Cricetulus griseus: one gene and its partner. The protein of the gene in region 2 interacts with the protein of the main gene of each other region in a pairwise test. Links are inferred from orthologs where the notes say so. Each region holds a gene or a part of one and is shown on either strand. Other genes may lie near its edges.

Evidence for each region.
Region 1: the proteins of Mtus2 (region 2) and Fam110a interact in binary tests that used the Homo sapiens proteins (3 or more experiments, as listed by UniProt). The link is inferred for Cricetulus griseus from reciprocal best matches to the Homo sapiens genes MTUS2 and FAM110A.

Annotation. Positions count from the first base shown.
Region 1 is NC_048599.1:28,033,707-28,044,354, reverse strand, and holds the start of Fam110a (protein FAM110A), read right to left. Parts: upstream 6,187-10,648; 5' UTR 5,973-6,186; intron 1-5,972.
Region 2 is NC_048597.1:83,797,557-83,808,378, reverse strand, and holds the start of Mtus2 (microtubule-associated tumor suppressor candidate 2), read right to left. Parts: upstream 6,425-10,822; 5' UTR 6,056-6,424; intron 4,795-6,055; 5' UTR 4,692-4,794; intron 1-4,691. UniProt on the Homo sapiens protein: Binds microtubules. Together with MAPRE1 may target the microtubule depolymerase KIF2C to the plus-end of microtubules. May regulate the dynamics of microtubules at their growing distal tip.

The sequences.
Region 1 (10,648 bases), on a different chromosome or scaffold from region 2:
GTGCTCTCCCTTAACATTTAATCTTCCCGTGGTTAAACGGGGCACAGGGAGAACTAGTATGCTCTGGGTAGCCTTCCTATGAGGCAACTTCATTGTCATCCAAGTTGACTAATGGAAACCCCAGACAGGCCAGGCTGAGTCACTTGCCCAAAATCAATGGGGGAGTCCAACCTGGGTACTTTCCCTCCCACCACTCCTTATTGCCACCCTATTCCCCTGTGTGCCAGCAGGTGGCTGGGCCTCAGCCCCATGAATGAGAAGAGTAGGACCTTAGGGGACAGCCTACTGTGAGTGCTCAAGGCCTGAGGTTGCTGGCTATAGCTTTGTGGCAGCTTTAAGGATCAAGAGGGACAGCCACAGTGCAGTGGTATGAGATGGTCCATTTACCCCTTGAAGAGCCAGGCCATGAGGAGGGCGAATATTTCTCTCCTCATGGGGAAACCCATATTTCACAGAGGAGACTGCAACCCTGCTGGTGGTGGGGGTTGTCCCTGGGAGGCCCTGGGAGGGCTCCAACTGTCCCCTCTGCCAGTTCAAGGCTTCTGTCACTTTCCAGGGTATTGTGAGGTCCAGGGAAAGGAGATACCCACCAGGCCTCAGACCCTAGCACTGGCAAAGCAACCCTGCACCCAGGTGGAGGCTGAGTCAGGGCTAGGGTGGGGCAGGGGGAGACAGTAAGTGGTTCCTGTCCACTTTCCTTCCCTTGGAGCATTGAAGCCCCCTCTAGTCCTGTATATTACAGGATGGGGGGCAAGTCACCCACAGTGGCCTGACCAGCTCACTGCCTGACCTGGCTGCGATAACAAAGGAACAGACTTACAGCTGGCCTCAGGCACTAACAGTGGAAACTACAAAGACAGAAGCACTTGTCAAGGAGAAGCCCTGGTCATCCCAGCATATTTCTTTAGAAGCAGAGACGATTCGAAGCTTTTGTTGTTGTTGTTGTTGTTGTCGTTGCTGCCATTGGTGTTTGTTTTAAACAGGGTGTTTGTTTTAAACAGGATGGGTGTTTGTTTTAAACAGGGTCTTGCAGTATCGTCCAGGTCTGGAACTCTCCATTCTCCTTCTGGGATTACATGTATGCACTGCCATGCATATTATATGTGAACTCATTCCATTCTTATACCTGTCTGTGAGGTAGATACTGCTATTGTGTCCATTCCACAGATGAGAAAACTAAGGCATAGAGATCACACAGCCAGCAAATGACAGAACCAGGATTTGAACCCAGGCTTGGATCTGGTAGGGAGAGAGGCCAGAGACAGAAAGTGCCTCCTGGGAAATTCCATAAAAGCCCTCAGCCACCTTGCCTGGGCTCCACAGGAATCTGCCACCTATGGAAACATGTGTTTTGGGCTGCAGCTTCCTCAGCTATAATATGAGATGATAATGACAGTGTTTTCCTAGCAGATCCACACCTCACGACTGCTGGGCTTGACCCTTATACCCTCCCAGGGATAAATTCCAGCCCCCAGCGTGGCCCTCTGGTCTTTACCCAGCTTTGCCACCTCATCCACACTGCCATTCCCAGACCAGCCACAGAATCCTCCTGACTAGTCCTTTACAAAGGTCTTTGCCGCCCCGGGGCCTTTGCACCAGCTGCTCACCGTGTAGAACCCTGTCCCTCGCTGGTCTTCAAGCCTCATTTCAAATGTGACCTCCTCTGCCAGCCCTCCCTTTCTACCCTGGGGGGGTCTCTTCTCCTTAAAGCACCTTTGTCATTTGTTTCCTGGCTGCCCACTGAACTGAGCCACACTACTCTGCTGTCTTTTCTTCTTCCCTGGAACAAATTCGAGGAAACATCACTGACCAAGAGGCTGAAGAAGGCCCAGGCCAGCATCAAGATATACACATCAAACACACACAGCTTTCTGTATGTCAATCACACTCCAATTTCCAAAGGAAGGAAAGAGGGGGAGGGGATGGAGACAAGGAAGGAGGAGGAAGGGAGGGACACAGTACGGAAGGAGCACAGAAATGTCCCTGTGTCTCTAGCACGCCTCCCTCCTAGGAGCAGCTGACAAGATCTTGGTGATCAGCTGACACACTGGTCATTTCCCCTTTGTAGCTAATAATTAGCTGGGGGATGGCAGGGTCCATGAGTGCCAAGTCTCCCCTAGGCCACGTTACTGTTGTCCTTTCCACACTCACTCCCCGGCCATCCTCCCCTCACCCTGTTCCAGCTTGGCCACTTCCAGCCAAGCCTTGTTCTTCCCCCAAAGATGCCAAGTCAAAATCTTCAGGGCTCTGGCCCACCCATACACCTCTGCTGCAGGGAACTTCTCCATACTTGCTTCCCCCACTATAAAACAGGCCCAAGGCGAGACAACTGCCATCAAAATGAAAGCTGTGATGATAGCTGGACATGTAGATCCTCCAAGGCCCAGCTCTGAGGAAGGCCTCCACCATCACACTGCAGGGACAAGAACAGCAGTGTGGTGACAATTGAAAGTTCAGTCACTTGAAGCAGTACCTTCCACAAAGAAGAAAAAGAAGCTGGGCCTGGTGGCACATACCTTAATCTCAGCACTCAGGAGGCTGAGGCAGGAGGGTCATGAAGCCAGCCTAGCCCCACACAGACACATACACAGACACACACATACACACACACACCACACACGCATGCAAAAGCTAGAGAGCCAATGAAGCCAATGAATGTAAAGAAATATGCTCCACATCTCTGGACCATTAAAGAAATGCCAATGAACAGCAACACACAGTGTCACACCCATTAGCGCAAGTCCTATCCAAAACACACATTAAGATATTAAGCGCTGATGAGGAGGTTGGGCTTTAGAACCCTGTGCACAGCTGATAGTGAAAAACCACGTGACAGTTCTTTGTAGGTTAAACGAATGACCAGAGCAGCACCTAGAAATCACACCTCTAAACACTCATCTCAAAGGACTTAGAGTGTGCATGCCAGCAAAAGCCCTCATACTAAATCCCTAGCAGCATTAGTCACCACAGCCAAAAGGTGGGAGTAATCCAAATACCCACCAATGAATGAATGGGTAAAGAAACACAAACCACATATCCAACAGATTATTCAGCCTTTAAAGGGGAGAGGAGACTAACATACTTTACAACATGAATGAAACTTGGAAGACATCGGGCAAAGTGCAATAAGCTGGATACAGCAAGGCATGCTTCTATGTATATAGAGTCAAAACACTGGGAACAAGGTTGAGTAGTGTTTGCCAGGGTGAGTTTGAGAGTGGGAAGTGACTGTTTATTGGGTATGGAGTTTCTGCAAACTTCAAAGTGGTTAGATGGGATCAGATAGGCTTGGGGTAAAAGTGCTTGCCATACAAGCCTGGAGATCTGGGTTCAATCCACCGAACCCACATTGGGAGATAAGAACTACTCCTGTGTGTCCTCTGACTTCCACATGCCTGTTATGTGGAATATGTGTTCATGGAATAAAAGCAGTAAGCCCCTCACTTCATAGGGTGGAGGTACATCGCAACTCAGAATGGTAAAATACGGAGTACATTGCAAGTGGTCTGAGCCCAAGCAGCTGTGTGTTCACTCTTCCCTTTGCTTCCTTTCTTCCCCGAAGAAGGTGGGTTTCTAGGGTTGACCATTTTTACGACATTTTGCACCACCCCACCTGCTCCTCTGTCCTTTCAAAGGAAACCTGGCTCAGGCTTGGTAGACAGGGAGGCCTTTAGTTGCTGCTGAGGAGGATCAAGAAGGCTCCAGGCAGTGGGGTAGAGCCAGCCCAGCTGTCCAGGTCAGAGACACCCGACTGGGCATTCTCCAGGGCAGGCCAGGTTCCAAGCTATTTCTGGAGTTTTCCCCAGGATCATGCCCCAGCCTGCCTATGAGGCAGCCTTGCTCAGAGTGGCTTTGCACGAACCTCAGGGAGAGGGTTATGAGTGGGTGTGGATGCCTAGGACAGTGAGCGTCTTTACGGACCCCCGCCCCCAATATATGCTCCTCCTCTAATTCAAACTTTGGGGACTCAGTTTGCACCCTGACAAAATGGGAGCAAAGGCAGATTTACAGTGGAAGAGGGAGAAGGAAGGGAAAGGCTGGGAAGGTAAGGCTTGAGTTAGACCTGTGGCCACGCCCATTTCCTGTCCTACAGTACCCTGTCTAGGCCTGAGCTCACATGCAGTGTTTATCCCCAGCTCAGAATGTGAAGAAACTTGCCCAAAGTCACACAGCCAGTGACAAATCACAGGCAGAGCAGTGACCTCATAGCTTTCTGGAGATGTAATCACCATGTCTACTTAGTGGCTTCTGAATTAGCTGTCCCACGGTCGAAACTACAAAGTGTGTCGTGTGTGTCATTTTCACTCAGCGCCTTTGCTGGGTAACCCACGTTCCTCTTGGTGCCACATCAGTACTTAAGGAGTTTCCGGTTATTTCTCATCAGCCCCTACTGGCCACTATGCATCTGTCCAGTTCCCGCTTGCAACAAGCCATGGCCGCAATGTAGCACCTGTCATTTTGCCTAAAAATGAGGTAGCTGGATGGGGTGGGAGGGTGCAGAATGCGTGTGTGTGTGTGTGTGTGTGTGTGTGTGTGTGTGTGTGTGTGTGTAACATCCATGCCTGTGCTTGCCAGAGTCTGCCAGAGCTGACATCACCCTACCCTGCTCCACCCCTGGCACAAAACATAGCAAATGGCCAACAGACGTTGGCTTTGATCATCTTGGTTCTGGAAGTTTCGGGCACCCTGACATTTTGTGACTGTGCTAAGCATCTTACCTGTCTGACACATTCAAGTGGAGAAGACAATAAACTGCCTAGTAAGACACCTAGTGTACAATGTGGAACAGACACTACTGAGAAAAACAAGGCGGCCACAGGAAGCCAAACAATGTAGAAAGAACAAATGAGGCAGGGGGTGTAGGCTCAGGAGGTATATGTTCAGTGGGTGTAACACAGTTGGTAGAGTGCTTGCTTAGCACGCACCAAGCCCTGGGTTTCATCCTAAAAATGACAAAAAAACTGGTGTAGTGGGGACCCATGCTTGTCATCAGAGAAGACAGATTCAGGGGGACGTTCAAGACCAGCCTAGTATACATAGTAAGACTGAAGCCAACTTGGGCCACACAAGACCCTCAGGGTAGGAGGAGATGACACATGGACAGACAGGCAAACACAGACTACCCCCAGAGCCAGAATGAGGAGTGGAGGATGAGCAGTTCCCCACAAAAGAGGCCCTCCATCAAATCCAGTTCTTCTCTGAATAGGTAAGACTGTGACTTTGAGCAATGGGCTCAACTTCTCAGAACCTCAGTTTCCCCATCTATGAAAAGAGATCAACAACAGACAGCAACCTGAGCGGGGAACATAGGCAGCCTAAATTATATGCTCCATTTGGGAGGGCCTACCCAGCACCCAACTCTAAAGTCCAGTGACTAGCAACTCTGGCTTAGAGGCTGATCCACCCGCCTCCAACACACAAAGTACACACACACCAAAGTACACACACACACACACACACACACACACACACACACACACACACACACACTACACACCACACACAGGAACAGACTCCCAAGAGGCCCACATGACTTCCAGGGCATTTGGATTTTCTGTCCTCCGGAATCTAGCCTGCCCCCCAGGGAGGCCCTCTGAGAGGGCAGCACTGGGATTCCGGACCATTCAGGCAGAAAAGTTGCCAGAGTCCCTGAGGAACGGAAGGCCATATGTCCTGAAGGGAAACTCCAAAGACAGTTGGGGTAGAGGTAGCCTAGCCCTGAGATCCCATAAGCCACATTCAACAAGCCCCTGAGAGTGACCAGCAGGGGCCCTCTGAACCTCTCAAAGAAAATCTGCCTGGAGTGGAGGCTGCAGGGTGGGACAGGGGAACAGCCGGATCCTCCGCTGGCCCCCTGGGCTGGACACTAGATAGACGTGGACCCTCGGTCAGCCCTCTGTGCTGGCACACTCGCCTCGAATGGTGCGTGGACCTACCCCAGACCCTGTGAGCCCCCTTACCCCCATGCTCACCTGCCGCCTGTGTCTGGAGGGTCCCCCGCGCTTCTCGCGAGCTGCCGAGGCTGACAGCTGGAGCGCTTGGTCCCAGAGCTCTGAGGCGGCCGTCGCGTGTTGAGACAGGCGGGCTCTTCCGAGAGGCAGGCCTTGGCTGTCCTACCGTCCTGCCGGACGAAGGTCCCCAGAGCCCGGAGGAAAGGGAAGTGAGCGAGCGGTCCCCGTCGCTGCAATGGTTCGCCCCGGACTTCCTGATTGGCCCTTCGCTTCCGTTCGAACGGCGCGCCACCCGAGTTGCCAGGCAACCTCAGGAGCAGCAGATGGGAGCGGGGCTGGCCCACGGTGGCCGCCAGGAGCCCAGCTGGCCGCGCGGCCTTCCGGCTGCCCCGGCCCTGCCGGCCAATGCGTTCCCTTTCTTCTTCTTCTCGTCCAGCTGGGATTCCCTCGGTCCCCACCTGCAGGAGTTGCTAGTCCCAGATTTGTTTGGTTTTGCACCGGCCCTAGTCCCATTTTTTTTTTTTTCTTTTTTAGGAAGGGCCTTGACATATAGCTAGCACATACTGGCCTCTCTTCACTTTTTTCTTTTGAGACAGGGTCTCACTAAGTTGCCCAAGCTGACCTTAAATTCACGCTGTGGTCCAAGTAGCCCTCAAACTTGTTATCTGCCTGCCTCAGCGTACCGACGAGTTGGTATTACTTGCCCAGCAGCCAACCTAGGTCCTGCTCCCAACTCTGCAGCTTCCTCTCTGTGTTTTCCAGGATCCCCTCTCCCTCTCCATTACCCTACTGCAATGGTAATTCAGTTAGTTTTCAAACGTGCACACCAGTAATTCCCACAATGCTTATCAAAATCAGGCCAATAGCCGGGCGTTGGTGGCGCACGCCTTTAATCCCAACACTCGGGAGGCAGAGGCAGGAGGATCTCTGTGAGTTCAAGACCAGCCTGGTCTACAAGAGCTAGTTCCAGAACAACCTCCAAAGCCACAGAGAAACCCTGTCTCGAAAAAACCAAAACAGAAAAAAAAAAAAAAATCAGGCCAATTACAGTATATAATATCCATCCTGGGAAGAAGCTAAATTGATCTTTCTACATAAATCTTATCAATACCTACCTTCAACTATCTACATTTTTCTGGTTAGGAATATTATGCAGTAACTTAAAATGATGCAATTAAATAGCATTTTAAAATAATGGAGGAATGCTAGGAAGTGTTGCCGGATTTTTAAATTTTATTTATTTTTAATTTTATATGCATTGATGTTTTGCCTGCATGTATGTCTATATAACTGTTGGATCCCCTGGAACTAGAGTTACAGACAGTTATGAGCTGCCATGTGGGTGCTAGGAACTGAACCTAGGTCCTCTGGAAGAGCAGCCAGTGCTCTCAAACACTAAGCCATCTCTGCAGCCCCATAGTGTTATGTTTTAAGCATGTTTCAAAGCACTCCTTACAGCATGAATAGGTAGTAAATACATAACCATATTATTCATACAAAAAGCATCTCCTATTTACAAAACAGCAGCTAACTCTTTTGCATTTAAATATGCTTCCATTCACTCTTTGAGAATGTCATACATACATACATACATACATACATACAATGTATTTTGATCATATTTGCTCCACTTTCCCCCCCAACTCCTCCTACATCCATCCTCATTCTCTCCTTCCTTTCCTTTTGTTTTTTATAACCCACCAAGTCCAATCTGCTGCCCAACTATTCATGGGTGTAGAGCTATACACTGGGCTGTGATCAAACCACCAAGGGCTGCACCCTTTACAAAGCAACTGACTTTCCTTCCCCAGAAGCCATCAAATGTGAAAAGCTCCTCAGCTAGGAGTGGGGGCTCATAAGCCCCTTCCTGCTCTGTGTTGAAATATTAAGGGCTTGATCTTGTACAGGCAACCCAGCTGCCGTGACCACAGGTGTGGCAGTCCTGGAGTGTCCAGAAGAGTTCTTTCCGACCTCTGGTTCTGACAGTCTTTCTGCTCCCTCTTGATACAGATTTCACGTTTGTGGCTGAACACTCCACAGACACCTATTCTCTGCCCTTCGACCAGTTGTGAATTTCTACTGCCATTCACTATACAAAGAAGCTTCTCTGATGAGGTCTGAAGGCTGTGCTAATTTTATGGGTATAGAGGTATGAATTTAGAAGGCAGTTTGATATTATGTTCATTTAGCAGAATAATGGCTGTAGGTTCACCCTGGGGGCCTGTGAGCTCAACAGCCACGGATCTTGGCCAGATTTGCAATACCAGGCATACATATCCTCCTGTGGAACGCATCTGAAATCCGACCAGAGAGCTGTTGGCTACTCCCATAGCATTTGCACAAGTACTGCACCCATGCTATGCCGGTCACTACTACAGCTCAGAGGACCCATATCTGGGTAAGACTATTGACGTCTTTTCTCTCCCAGCAGCCAACACTGCACTTCCGGCACTATGAAAGCTGGTCTTCAGGGAGAATGCTTCCTAGCAGCATTTAAATTCTTATTCATGCTTTTGTGGATTTTGCAAGTTTCCAACTCTTGAACTGTCAAAGGAAATTTTTTTAATTTTTGTTTGTCTGTGGTGTATTCATACATGTATTCATACATATGTGTACTCAGAGACCAGAAGAGGAATTTGGGTGTTCTACTCTCTCTCTCTCTCTCTCTCTCTCTCTCTCTCTCTCTCTCTCTCTCTCTCTGTAATAGGGTCCCTACATAGTCCTAGCTATCCTGGAGCTCACCATGTAGATCAGGTTAGCCTCAAACTCAGTAACTCTAAACTCCTACCTCTGCCTCTCACTTTATTCTCTTTTAATTTTAGTTCGTGTTTCTACATTTGTTTCTGTGAGTGTGTTCATGTGCATGTGATGTGTGTATGAGCACATGCCACGGTGCACATGTGGAGGGCAGAAGGCAACTTGCTAGAGTCAGTTCCCTTCCACCTTGTAGGTTCTAGGAATCAGAGTCTGGTTCATCAAGCTCAAATCTAAATCTGGTCATCTCACTGGCCCTCTCCAGCTTGTTCTCTTGAGATAAGACATCTTGTTGAACCTGTGACTCAGCTGGTGGCCAGAAAGTGCCTTTGAGCCTCCTGTCTCTGCCCTGCCACAGCCTGGGGTCCCAGGTAGATGGTTACACATAGCTTATGTGAGTTCTGGAGATTTGAAATCAGCTACTCATACAGCAAGTACTCCTGCCCACTGAGGGATTTCCCCAGCTCAAGAAAAATTCATTTAAGGTGCTAGAATAAGTTGAGTTAATTGTAGTTCTCAATTTATGTTTATGTCTGCATTGTTCTACTTGATGCTGGCCTCTGTTCCATTCCAGCCGCTGTCATTGAGTTACTGACAGAGCACTTACTGTGTATATGCCCAGGACAAGCAAATAAGGGGTTAATGATACATCAAGCAATTCAGAAGAGACTTGTGTCAGCAAGGCACAGGGGAGTCTAAGGCTATGTTAATACTCAACACGACAATCTGGTCTTAGAAGCTAATCAGGGTCAGTCCTGGTTGATACTCTGATGGGAGGAAGGTCTGGTGACGCTGTAGGATCAAACACAGATCCAGGACTTCAAACTTCTTATGGGAAATGAAAAAAAAAAAACCACTTCACTGTCTTTTCTACCTAAGGTTAAATTAGACAAAATTCCATTTAAAAAATTACATAGAAGCTACTTGGCAGAAATTCACATTCCTCCAAAAACCAGCACTTCTTGAAATCAGAATACATGTTCAAGTTTCATTTCTGCCTAGAAACTGTGCTGTTCTGTATGAGTCAGTCACAAAAGAAACTGAGGCCACACTCTGACCACTGAGAGAGGCACAGGACCCCTCTTTGTCAGCAATGAAAACCCAGAGGACCTGCAGTGGTGTGCTTACTGGCATCTCTGCACCACTGGGCAAGAGCAATGCCCCGTTCCCCTAAAGCAAAACTTTGACTTGCTAGAGTACTCTGGGTTATGTGCTCATCTTCTTGAGACCCCAGATCCATTTATTACAACCTGGTGCCCAAAGTAAGGGCTCTCTCCATGGCCAAGGGTCTTGCAGACTGATTTCCATATTGGGAGGTGCATCCTGTTGCCTCTTTGCAATGGTCCTGGGTGTAGAGAAACTCTCTAGCTCCAGAAATAACAGAAACCTAAAAATCAAAAGTAGACCAGGAGTTTGGAGATAAGTCCACAGAGAGTACTGCAGCAACCAGGTGGCTCAATGTACCAACCAAGGCAGGAAGCTTGGACTACAAAGGACTGCCTTGGTGGTTGGAGATTTGGGAGGTAAGAATGTGACTAGAGTGGCAGTCAACGGCCACTGAGAATGGGAACGCTCCGATGCAGGGAAGTTGAATAAGTCCATGCAGGACCAGAATAGGGAGAGACGAGGAGTCTGCCCGACATCCCCCACAGCCCATTAGGGTAGATGTTGAGGTTCTGGGAATACAACTCCAGAAAGAAGGGAAAGGATAAAGATCTGAGACCAATAAGAATAAGATTCCTGGGGCTGAAGAGATGGCTAAATGGTTACAAGCACTGCCTGCTCTTCCAGAGGACCCAGGTTCAATTCCCAGCAGCCACACAGGGGCTCACACTGTCTGTAACCCCAGTCAGGAGATCTGACATCTTCTTCCTGCCTCATGGTGTGCAGACATCTGTGCAAGCAAAACACCCATATACATTTTATTTGTTTGTTTGTTTATG
Region 2 (10,822 bases):
CTCAGCTTTAACCCACGACAGCCATGAGGTTTTACCTGAGTGGGGGTGTGTGAACTTGGAAGCTTCTAGGAACCCAACGACGATAAAGACCAAACACAGGCATCTTGTCACCTTTAGAGAGCTCTCAGTTCCATGTTTTGGAACTAGAGCCATTGTTTATTAGCCATCTTTTCTGGTGTCCCTTAATCATCCTGCTAGTACCACGAGGCAACCATTTCTCCTTTTTTCCCTTGCTGCTCTCTCCAGCTCTGGCCTTCTCGCCCACTTCGTTCCTCCCCTTCTCCGCTCCTACCACCAGCACTTCTGGCCAGGTGAGGGCCTATTCAGATGCTGAGGCACATACAGATGCAAATAAGAGGCATATTACCCTCAGGCCAGGTAAACAGTTAATTAACAATACAATGGCCACTCAGAGCTCCCTGGCGCCACCTCTGTTTATGTGGCCAGGGCCTGGAACCCAGAATATTCCATAACAGGGATATTTGGTCCCCCAGTTTTCCTCTTAAAAATCACACCTGTAAGATCATTCGCTGCTGTGTTCTGCCTAAGTCAGAAATCAGCCACTTTACTTTTCTTCCATGCTTGATAAATAATCTCTCTGTGAAAATAGGTGTTTGGGTGTGGTTTGTGCCTAATCGGGGTCCAGGAGGGTGCACCCCTCCCTAACCCCTGCTGTGTGTACGGGGGAGGAGGGAATCCCTTCTAAGAGTGACTGAGCCACACTTCTGTGGGAGAAATAAAGCATCTTAAAGTCACACCGTTTGTGGTGGCCGAACCAAAATGGGAAGACCAGAACCCGAGACTCCTGTGTTTGTCTCTGCACTTTGTTGCAGTCACTGTGCTACACAGCCTGGGCTTTTATCATTTTATTCCGGGGTCAGCAGACAACCGCCCGGCACTTTGTGACTCTGCTTGTTTGCAGAGCTCAGTTGCGACTGAGGATCAGAATAACAGTGATTTTTTTTTTTCTTTTTCTTAATGAGTCCAAGTGTACTCTTGGTTCCTAGCAGTTGCATGTGCAATGTGAAAACAGACAGCAGTGGGCGTGAACTGTGAATCACCGCAATAGACAGGCATACGTGAGTCGGAGTGCCTGCATCTCATGTTACCATTGTCTCTGGGGTTCATTGTCTAGCCCATCTACTGTAGCTAATTAGCCACAGCTGCACTTCGCATAGGGCTTCCTGTGTGCTGATCACTCATGTTCAATGGGAGACCACACTCTGCATTCCTTCAATTTGTGTCTTCCTAATTAAACTGCAAATGCTGATTGCTTCTTCCTCTTGACCGGAAAAGCTTAGATTTTTATCACCAAGTCCCTAGGCTTCTGTTTTTATCAAAACGTTTTTTTTAAAGCCCTGACCCTAAGGACCCGGGCAGACTGGACAACAGAGATAACTTTTAAATAGTTATCTCATTTCCTAATTGACAAAAACTGTCACGGTGTGATGACCTAGCAGGATCTGATGTGTATTACAAAAGTGACAAAGATTCTACACTGCAGTGGCACTAGAGAGTACGAAATCACTCCTTCCTTTGTATGGCAGCCACCAGTCTGTCATCTCTTAGTCTTTAAAATGAAAAACTCTACTTGACCTGTATATGCTTAAGGAGAAATTACAGTAATTGATTTAACACTTGGGGCCGGGCATAACAATTATGGAATACAATTTGGCTATCCAAGGTAACGTGCTAATAATATCACTGTTTACAAAATAATTATGATGGTGGTGGTAGTGGCGGCGGAGGGTGGTGGTGATGTCACTGTTTACTGCCAGGTCATCTCCTAACACACTGGTAAGGATAAGACCGATAGAACATAAGACATGAAAGCTGGAAAGGACCCGGAGGACGCCCTAGTTCAAACTTAGTTGGCAAAAGAGTAAACAAAGTGAGGAACCAGCTTCCCTTTCAGCAGCCATAACAGCCAAACACGTGCTTGCCACAAACCTGCCTTGGTCACTTAGAGGTCAGATGCCTGTCTCGTGACAAGGAACCCATCAGAAGTTAGTCACTAGAAAGTCAGATGCCTGCCTCGTGACAAGGAACCAATCAGAAGTTAGCTGGTGGCGCTATGCTTTACGGCTCTGGGTGTGCTTTACAGACAAGTGCACAGCAATGACGTAGAGAGTATAGCAACCACCCTGGGAGGGCCTATGGGCCATAACAACCAGTTGACCAATCAACACAGGGCAAACCCTCCAAGCCTGGAGGCACACCAATCGTGAGCCTGTGTGTACCCCTAGACACTCCCCTTACGCTGCCCTGTAAGATCTTTCAGGAGCCCCTAGGAGCCGTCTTTTCTGGCCATCCGCCTTGGCGGGTGGATGAAAGACCCTAGCTAACATGGGGTTAGCTCGTTAAATTACAATAAAGCCTCGTGCAGTTTGCAGCAAGCTCTCGAATCCTCCTGGTGATTGGGGTGACCGAGAACGTGGCCTGGGACCCCGGATACTTGAGTTTTCGGGGGTCTAACACCATAATAGAGGGAAACATTTTAGGTTTACAGAGAAATCAGGCACTAGGGAAATGTCTGGAGATCTACAAAGATGACACCAGCTAACAATCTAAGCAACAGAGGAGAGGCTACCTTAAATGACCTCCCCTGATAATGAGATTGACGACTGACTTATATGCTACCCGATAGCCCTCATCCAGCAGCTGGTGGAAGTAGAAGCAGATACCCACAACTTATCACTGAACTGAACTGGAATCCAGATGCAGAGAAGGATGAGTAAATAGCAAAGGGGTCCAGGCCAGGCTGGTGAAACCCACAGAAACAGCTGACCTGAACATCGGGGAACTCTTGCTCCCCAGACTGATAGCTGGAATACCAGCATGGGACTGATCCAGACCCCAGGAACATGGGTTTCAGTGAGGAAACCTCAGAAATCTATGGGACCTCCTGTAGTAGTTCAGTACTTATCCCTAGCATAGGTGTGGACTTTGGGAGTCCATTCCACATAGAGAAATACTCCCTGAGCCAAGACACATGGGGGTGGGCCTAGGCCCTATCCTGAAGGATATGATAGACTCTGATGACACCCTATGGAAGGTCTCACCATCCAGGGGGAGGAGAAAAGGTAGGGTTTTAGTTGGGGGGATAGTTAGGGAGGTCGGGAGGGAGAGGGGAACTGGGATTGTCATGTAAAACAATCTTGTTTCTAAATCAATTTTTTTAAAAAATCTGAGAAAGAAAAAAAAGAATACACAGCCATCAAACTTTCAAACACCAATTTTAAAGGGGTTGCGACTAAACCAGGGGTGGTGATAACAGTCCTGAAACCCCAGGGCTCTGGAGACCGAGGCAAAAGGATTTCAAGTTTGAAGCCTGAGCCACATGGTGAGACCGACCTCAACCAAACAAGGCTGTTTCTACAAAGCACTCTTGGAGGGAATGCTATGTCTTCCCAGGAAAATTCTTTGTTTTTCTGCTGAAACAAAGTCAGTGTCTGTGGATATACCGAAATCTCTACCTGACATGCATGAAAGCTAAGCTATGATCTTCTGGGAGCTTCCAGAAAGGCATTTGCTTTCCTGGGAAGAAGGTTGCTCATTGTTCACCAACCGGTCCTCACTGGCTGAGCCTAAGACTCTGAAATGGCATAAGGCAGCAATAGCTATGATGTGACAATTTTATAAATTAACTATGAAATTGTCCCTCACAAGCTCATGTGTTGAAATGCTTGAATACCAGCCTGGTGCAGTTTGGGGAGGTTGTGAATTGTTTTTAACTTCATTTTTTTTGTTTGTTTTTTTTTTGGGGGGGGGGCGTTGGTTTTGGTTTTGGTTTTTCCAGATAGGGTTTCTCTGTGGTTTTGGAGGCTGTTCTGGAACTCACTTTGTAGACCAGGCTGGCCTTGAACTCACAGAGATCCACTTGCCTCTGCCTCCTGAGTCCTGGGATTAAAGGTGTGTACCACCACTGCCCGAATTAACTTCATTTCTTTTTCTGAGAATTTCATATATGAGTACTGTATTTCCATCATTTTGACCTCCCTCTAACTTCTCCCATGTCCCCTCTCCCCCACTGACTATCAAATTCATGACCTTTTTTAATTATTAGACATACACACACAAACCCAATCCATTTAGTACTGTTCATATGTACATGTATTTAGTGTTGACCACTTGGAATTGGATAACCTATCAACCAGGACCTTGGAAGAGTGATTAGGCCCCCTTACCCACACCTTTAAAGTGAAAAAAAAAAAAAAAGATATAATAATCAGACTGGTCTAAGGTAGTTTGTCGTGGCAGCCTAAGCAGGTTAATACACAGCCATTCTGTAGAGAGGACAGGACATCACTTTCTTCATTCAGCTACCTTATATGAATGCAAGGGCTACCCAGAGAGATACAGAAAGAAAATGCCTGTCTGTATTGGTCTCAGACACATCTGCCATGTAATAGCAGACTGCCAATGACCTACAGACCTATAGACCTACAGTCCATCACAAATAAGAAGTTGTATAACCAGAAGGAAGTGGATTCTGCCAACAACCAGGAACACTGGAGGAGCTCCAAGCTCCATCTAAGAGCCAGCCTGGCTGATGGCCACATTATGGCCTGTGGAACAGGTCCAGCTAAGCCATGCCTGAACTCCACAACTGTGGGAACATAAGATAGCGAAGGGTTTTATGCCACAAAGTGTATGGTCACTAGATACATAGCAAGAAGGCTAACGCATACCTGCTGATGGATTTTCTGTATCCCAGGGTCAGAGAAGGAAGTAAGGCAGGTGACATTCATATGACTCTAAGCCAAGCACGCTCATTGACACCCAGGAGTCCCACTGGACCAGAGAAAAGAAAGACAAGTTATGATATGTGGAACCCTACCACCCTCAAACAAATTTTCTCTCAAGGTTTGATGGAGTAGAACCACAGCATAATTTGAGAAACACTATCAAGCCGACCAAAAATTGGCTTCACCCTCTGTCCTGGCTGTCAATTTGATACAACCTACACTCAACTGGAAAGAGGGAACATCAACTGAGGGACTGCCTGAATCAGATTGGTTGATTAAAGTGAGAGGGCCTAGCCCACTGTGGGTGGTACCATCCCTAGGCAGATGAATGAAGGATGCTATAGAAAGATAGCTAAACATAAACATGAGCCCGAGCCTGAGCCTGGGTCAGAGAGTGAGTCAGCAAGCAGCATTCCTCTCCAGAGTTTATTTGAGCACCTCCCTAGAGTTCCTGCCCTGACTTCACTTACTGACAGTTTGTAACCTGGAAGTGTAAGCCAAATAAATCCTTTCCTTCCCAAGATGATTTTGGCCAGTGTTTTATCACAGCAACGGAAAAGCAAGCCAGTACACCTTGCTATCTTGAAATCTCAGACATCCATCGGCAGGAGGTATCTCTATGCAATAATAAGTATCCTGGGATCATTCTTTTAAAACACGTATGCCTGAGCCCCACCCATGACCCTGCAGTCAAGTCTGTATTCTTATAAAAGACACTCATATCCGGGAACTAGCCACAGCAAAACATCAACCCAAATGCATTCCATAAAGTGAGGTGTCAGACACAGAAAAACAAACACTGCACACCCACTCATACATGTGGAAGCTAAAAACTCCAGGTCACTAGAACAGAAAGTAGAACGATTACCAAGGGACAGGAGTGAGCATCAGGGAAGGACAGGGACGGGGAGGGGGTGGTTGACAGGTACAGTTGCATAGAAGAACTCTGAACATTCAGGAACCCAACAGACACTATGGTTGACATTGGTAATTGAATATGCCAAAACAAAAAACAAAACAAAACAAAAAACCGGATCTGTTTCTGTTTCCATGCTGTGTTGCTGCCATGAGGACCAGCCTTCAGCAGCTCAGGATTTGAGGGGGAGCCATGAAATCGAGCAGACTAATCACACAATTGACTTTTCTATCTGAGGATGTAAAACTTAATTTTGGGGGGCTGGTCATTGGGGCAAACTTAACTCCCTGGGGCTGGCGAAAAAGGAAAACACACACACACACACAAACACACACACACACCCTTTAGAGTCTTTCTATCATATCTCTCTTTTATCTCTTTCTTTTCTTACCTCTATCCAGATGTATCCCTTCTGTGTATTCTTAATTTATATCCCTTACAGCTTATTTGCCCAGTCAGAATCTTTCAAGCAGTATAAAAATTACACTGTGGTGACATTCTATTTTTCAAGTGAACAACTGCAGTGAATACAAGAAAGAAAAAAAAAAAAAAAAAGCATGTTTCCCATTTCCCTTACACGATTATATCATGTATTACAGGTGAAAAACAAATTATCTCCAAAACCCCACACACATTCATGTCCAAGCAACTTCTTATAGATTAAGCATGCAAGATACTTTTCTCAGCCAGTTCTTTTGCTGGCAGGCTGCATTTTTTCAGTTACAAGGAAAAGATCGATTGCTTTATTATTTATCTTAAAAGCAAGAGCTACATCCCAGGAGCTCCCAGAATGACCTGCAGGCTCAGAGTCTCCTTCCACCAGCCTTTGTTACTTCTTAGATAACCTTGGGTAACAGCCTTGGGAATCTTGTAAGTTTCAGGAACTTCACAAGCCTTGTAAGTTTTGTTTACTTCCGGAGTCTGAAGTTGCCTCCCTCCTGACCAAATGTTTGAATTAGGAGGTTATTGGTGTACAACATCCCAATACAAAGACATGATGTCAAAGGTTGTGGGTATGCCATTCCCTTCATGTGACCATGCTGACCTATATGTCTATTAAATGTCATAATATGCACAATTATGTACCAATTATTGTTAAACATCACTTTAAACCCATTCTAGATACAATTGGAATTATGCAATCAAGTGCTCACATTTTCTGTTTATTTTAATCTCTGCACTAGAAAGAGCCCTTCTCCCCTTGAGGTCAGCCCGGATTCCCAGTCCTATCCTGAAGCCATCTCTGCCTCCATGTTCTCTATTGGAGGTTGTTGCCAGCTCTCAGGTCAATGTGCAACCTGTTCATTTTGTCCCAGTGCGGGCACCACGGACCTGCTGCCCTCCCCCTTCGGCTGTGCCCAGCTAATTAATACCTGCTGCTACCAGGCTCCAGGCACAGGTCAATCCCCTCTGCTCCATGTCTTTCTTAGGTTTCTCTTGCTCTTATAAAACCCCATGACCAAAAACAACTTGGGGAAGAAAGGGCTTATTTCAGTTTACACTCCATCAGAAAGGAAAGTCAAGGCAGGAACTAAAGCAGAGGCCACAGAGGAATGATGCTTACTGGCTTGCTCTCCAAGGCTTGCTGGACCAGGGATGACATCACCCGAAATCGGCTTGGCCCTCTCACATCCACCACTAATTAAGAAAACGTAGCTGAAACTTGCCTACTGGCCCTTCCCATGGAAATATTTTCTCATGGAAGTTTCTTCTTTCCAGACTCTGGAGATCTGAAAGGGGACGTGACCTGGAGAAAGGGGAGGTGACCTGGAGAAGCTCTCTGAGACTCAGTTTACCTCTGACAGCTCTACCCTCCCCTGACAAGATGGGGATGTGAAAGACTGCCAAGCATGCCAGAGTATCAATGATGCCTCACTCCACCTGGTGTCACTTGGTCAGGCCTTGGCATTCCCAGCTGTGACCTCTGCTCCCACTACCCTCAACACATACCCGTACACCTCCCTCAGTGCACATGAGTTCCTAGTAACACTTGCTTCAGACATACCTGACTAGTTCGTGCCGAGCCATCGCTCCAGCTCACTAATTTACATCTTGATGGACCTTTGGCTATTCTACTCATCTTTCTTAGTGCAGTGAGATAAATATTTGAAATACAAAAGATGGCATGTATTGACTTTTCAGATTATGAGACCACTCCACAGAGAACATGTTTTCTGTCAGTGATTTAAGGGAGGAGAGGCGCCTAGCATTTTATTTTTGAAAGTGGAGCACTTTCCAGTTAAAATTGCCATTCTAGCAGGGCATTGGTGGCGCATGCCTTTAATCCCAGCACTCGGGAGGCAGAAGCAGGAGGATTTCTGTGAGTTCGAGGCCAGCCTGGTCTCCAGAGCGAGTGCCAGGATAGGCTCCAAAGCTACACAGAGAAACCCTGTCTCGAGAAATAAAAAAATAAAAAATGAAATAAATAAAATAAAAAATAAAATAAAACTGCTATTCTAACCACAGATTATATATGACGTATATAATTCCTTTTGGTCTATTAAAAAAAAAAAAAAAAGGACTGGTCAGGGATACAGCTATGGCTCAGTGGTTAAGAGCACTGGCTGCTCTTGCAGAGGACCTGGGTTTGCTTCCCAGCAACCAAATGGCAGCTCACCACCATCTGTAACTCCAGGTCTAAGGGATATGATGCCCTCTTCTGGCCTCTTCTGGCATTGCATGCATGTGGTGTACAGACATACATTCAGGCAAGCCTTCATACACAATTTAAAACAAAAACAAACAAACAAACAAACAAACAAACAAAAAACTAAAATTACCAGTCATCTTATCGTTTGTCTTTTACAGTTCCCACCTCCATTTCATGTACCTTCCTAATAACGGTGCAAGGAAGAGGATAACTGACAACCGGAACTGAGTCCCTGCTCACCCAGGTCCAACACAGCTGCTGAAGGATGCACCTACATCCCCGCCTCTGTCCTTGTTCGCTGGGCTGCCGCTCTTGTTCAACTATTCTTGGATTCCCAGAAGCCCTGACATAGTCCCATTCATCCCTATTTCTTTGTAATGCAGGAATAAACTATTTGTAGGCAAATTGGCATACTTCACTTCCGAAGTAAAATTATTTCCATTCATCTTCAAAAAAAAAAAAAAAAACCTAGCATTTATGAATAAGTCAACCCTTTATGTTGCATTGTTTTTCTCTGATCTATTTCCTCTCCTCTGAGTCTCCTCAACCCTCCAGCCCCAGGTTCTCTGGAATGCAGTGAGTCATGGGGATCCAGACACTGAAACATCTGTCCTCAGCTCTGGCCCTGGATTGCTCTAGAACCACGGAACTTATTCATCAGTGGGCTTTTTAAAACATCCTCTCACCAAGGATCTAAAATTATTGCTGTCTGCGCAATCACCACTAGCGAAATTTACTTACATCTACTTACCTTCTTCCTGACAGACATCGGCATGGTGATGCGACCCAGGTCCTGTTTAACCTTCATTTAATGCCTTGTGTAGTACCAGGCACATAACAGTAGTCAATGCATGCAATAAATCTACTCGGAGTAAATTGAAAAACTCTGGCTCTGCTAATCTAGGCATAAGTGGGGAGACCAGAGAAGGGGACTTGCTGCTGGGTCAACTGTACATCCACAGCTGGTATCCTAGTTTCTGCTGGCTGTCCTTGCGGATGTCCAGGCAACCTCACAACCAACTACTTTGTCTTCCTATCCCCTTTCACCTTAAACAAGGCTTTAAAGAAATGAGAGACCAGGGAGTTGTAAGCACCCCCAAGGGGGTCACCACCAACACTAAAATGGCTCACGTCAGATTCTCGGTGTGTCAGGACTTGAGTATTCTTATAGTGGTATGAATGTTCAAAATGCTTAGAGAGAAAATCTATAATTCAAATATTTTAAGTCAATATTTAAATATGAATTTCTAGACAGTTAAAATCAATAATTATAAACTATTATGTGTTCATTTTCAATGAGTATCCCCAAACACTGCCTGCCCTCATTTCCTTTCTGTTGTTGTGGTTTAGTGGTCCATCACTGAGAAGTCAAAGCTGGAACTTAAGAATACAGTCCTAGCTAGGGCTGGAGAGATGGCTCAGCGGTTAAGAGCACTGAGTGCTCTTCCAGAGGTCCTCAGCTCAATTCCCAGCAACCACATGGTGGCTCACAACCACCTTGAATGAGATCTGGTGCCCTCTGCTGGCCTGCAGACAGAAGACTGTATACATAATAAAATAAAAATCTTAAAAAAAAAAAAAAACTACACTATATTAAAAAAAAAAAAGAAAAAGAATGCAGTCCTATCACTTCCATAGTCAAGAGCAGAAAAAAAGGAAATCCACTCAAGCCTGATGATGTGTCTACCTGAAATCATCTGGCTTTCTCTTGTCCTGTATAGTTCAAGCACCCCTGCCTAGAGAATGATGCAGCCCAATGGACTGGTTCTTCCTACATCAATTAATAATCAAGAGACCCCCCCCCAATAGGCCCAAAGACCAAAACACCATGTAGGCATTCCTGCAATTGAGACTCAGGTGATTCTACATTGTGTCAAGTTGGAAGTTAAAACTAACCAACACAATGCACTTAAACATGCTAATGGTTACATAGTGTTTCATTACACGGGCATAATAATTTTATTGACCTATATTCATTGTATATAATGGTAGATTTAGTGAACATGTTTTCATTCAAGTATATCATGGTCCTTAATATATTCATTCACCACCACTACAATCCCTTGTGTCATTCTTAATTTTAGTAGAAAACTTGAATGTTTCCCCATTTTATATAACACTAGCTGTAATTTTCTTGTATGTAGTTCTTATTATATTGAGGTATACCTTTTCTATTCCTAGATTCTTTGGAGATTTTATGATGAAGTGATGTTGGACTTTGTCAAAAGCTTTTCTCCATCTATTGATTTGGTCATGTAATAGTCTGTTTATGTGATGTGTTATAGTTACTGATTTCTGTGTATTGAACCATCTTTGCCTCCCAGGAATTAAGCCAACTTGATCATAGTAAATGATCTTTTCCATGTGTTGTTGAATTTGGTTTTGTCAGGATGTTATTGAGAATTTTTGTAACTGTTCACCAGAGATATTGGCCTGCCATTTTCTTTTGTTTTTATCTGGGCCAGAATCGGAGTAATACTGGCTTTGCAAACTGAGCCTGATAGTGAT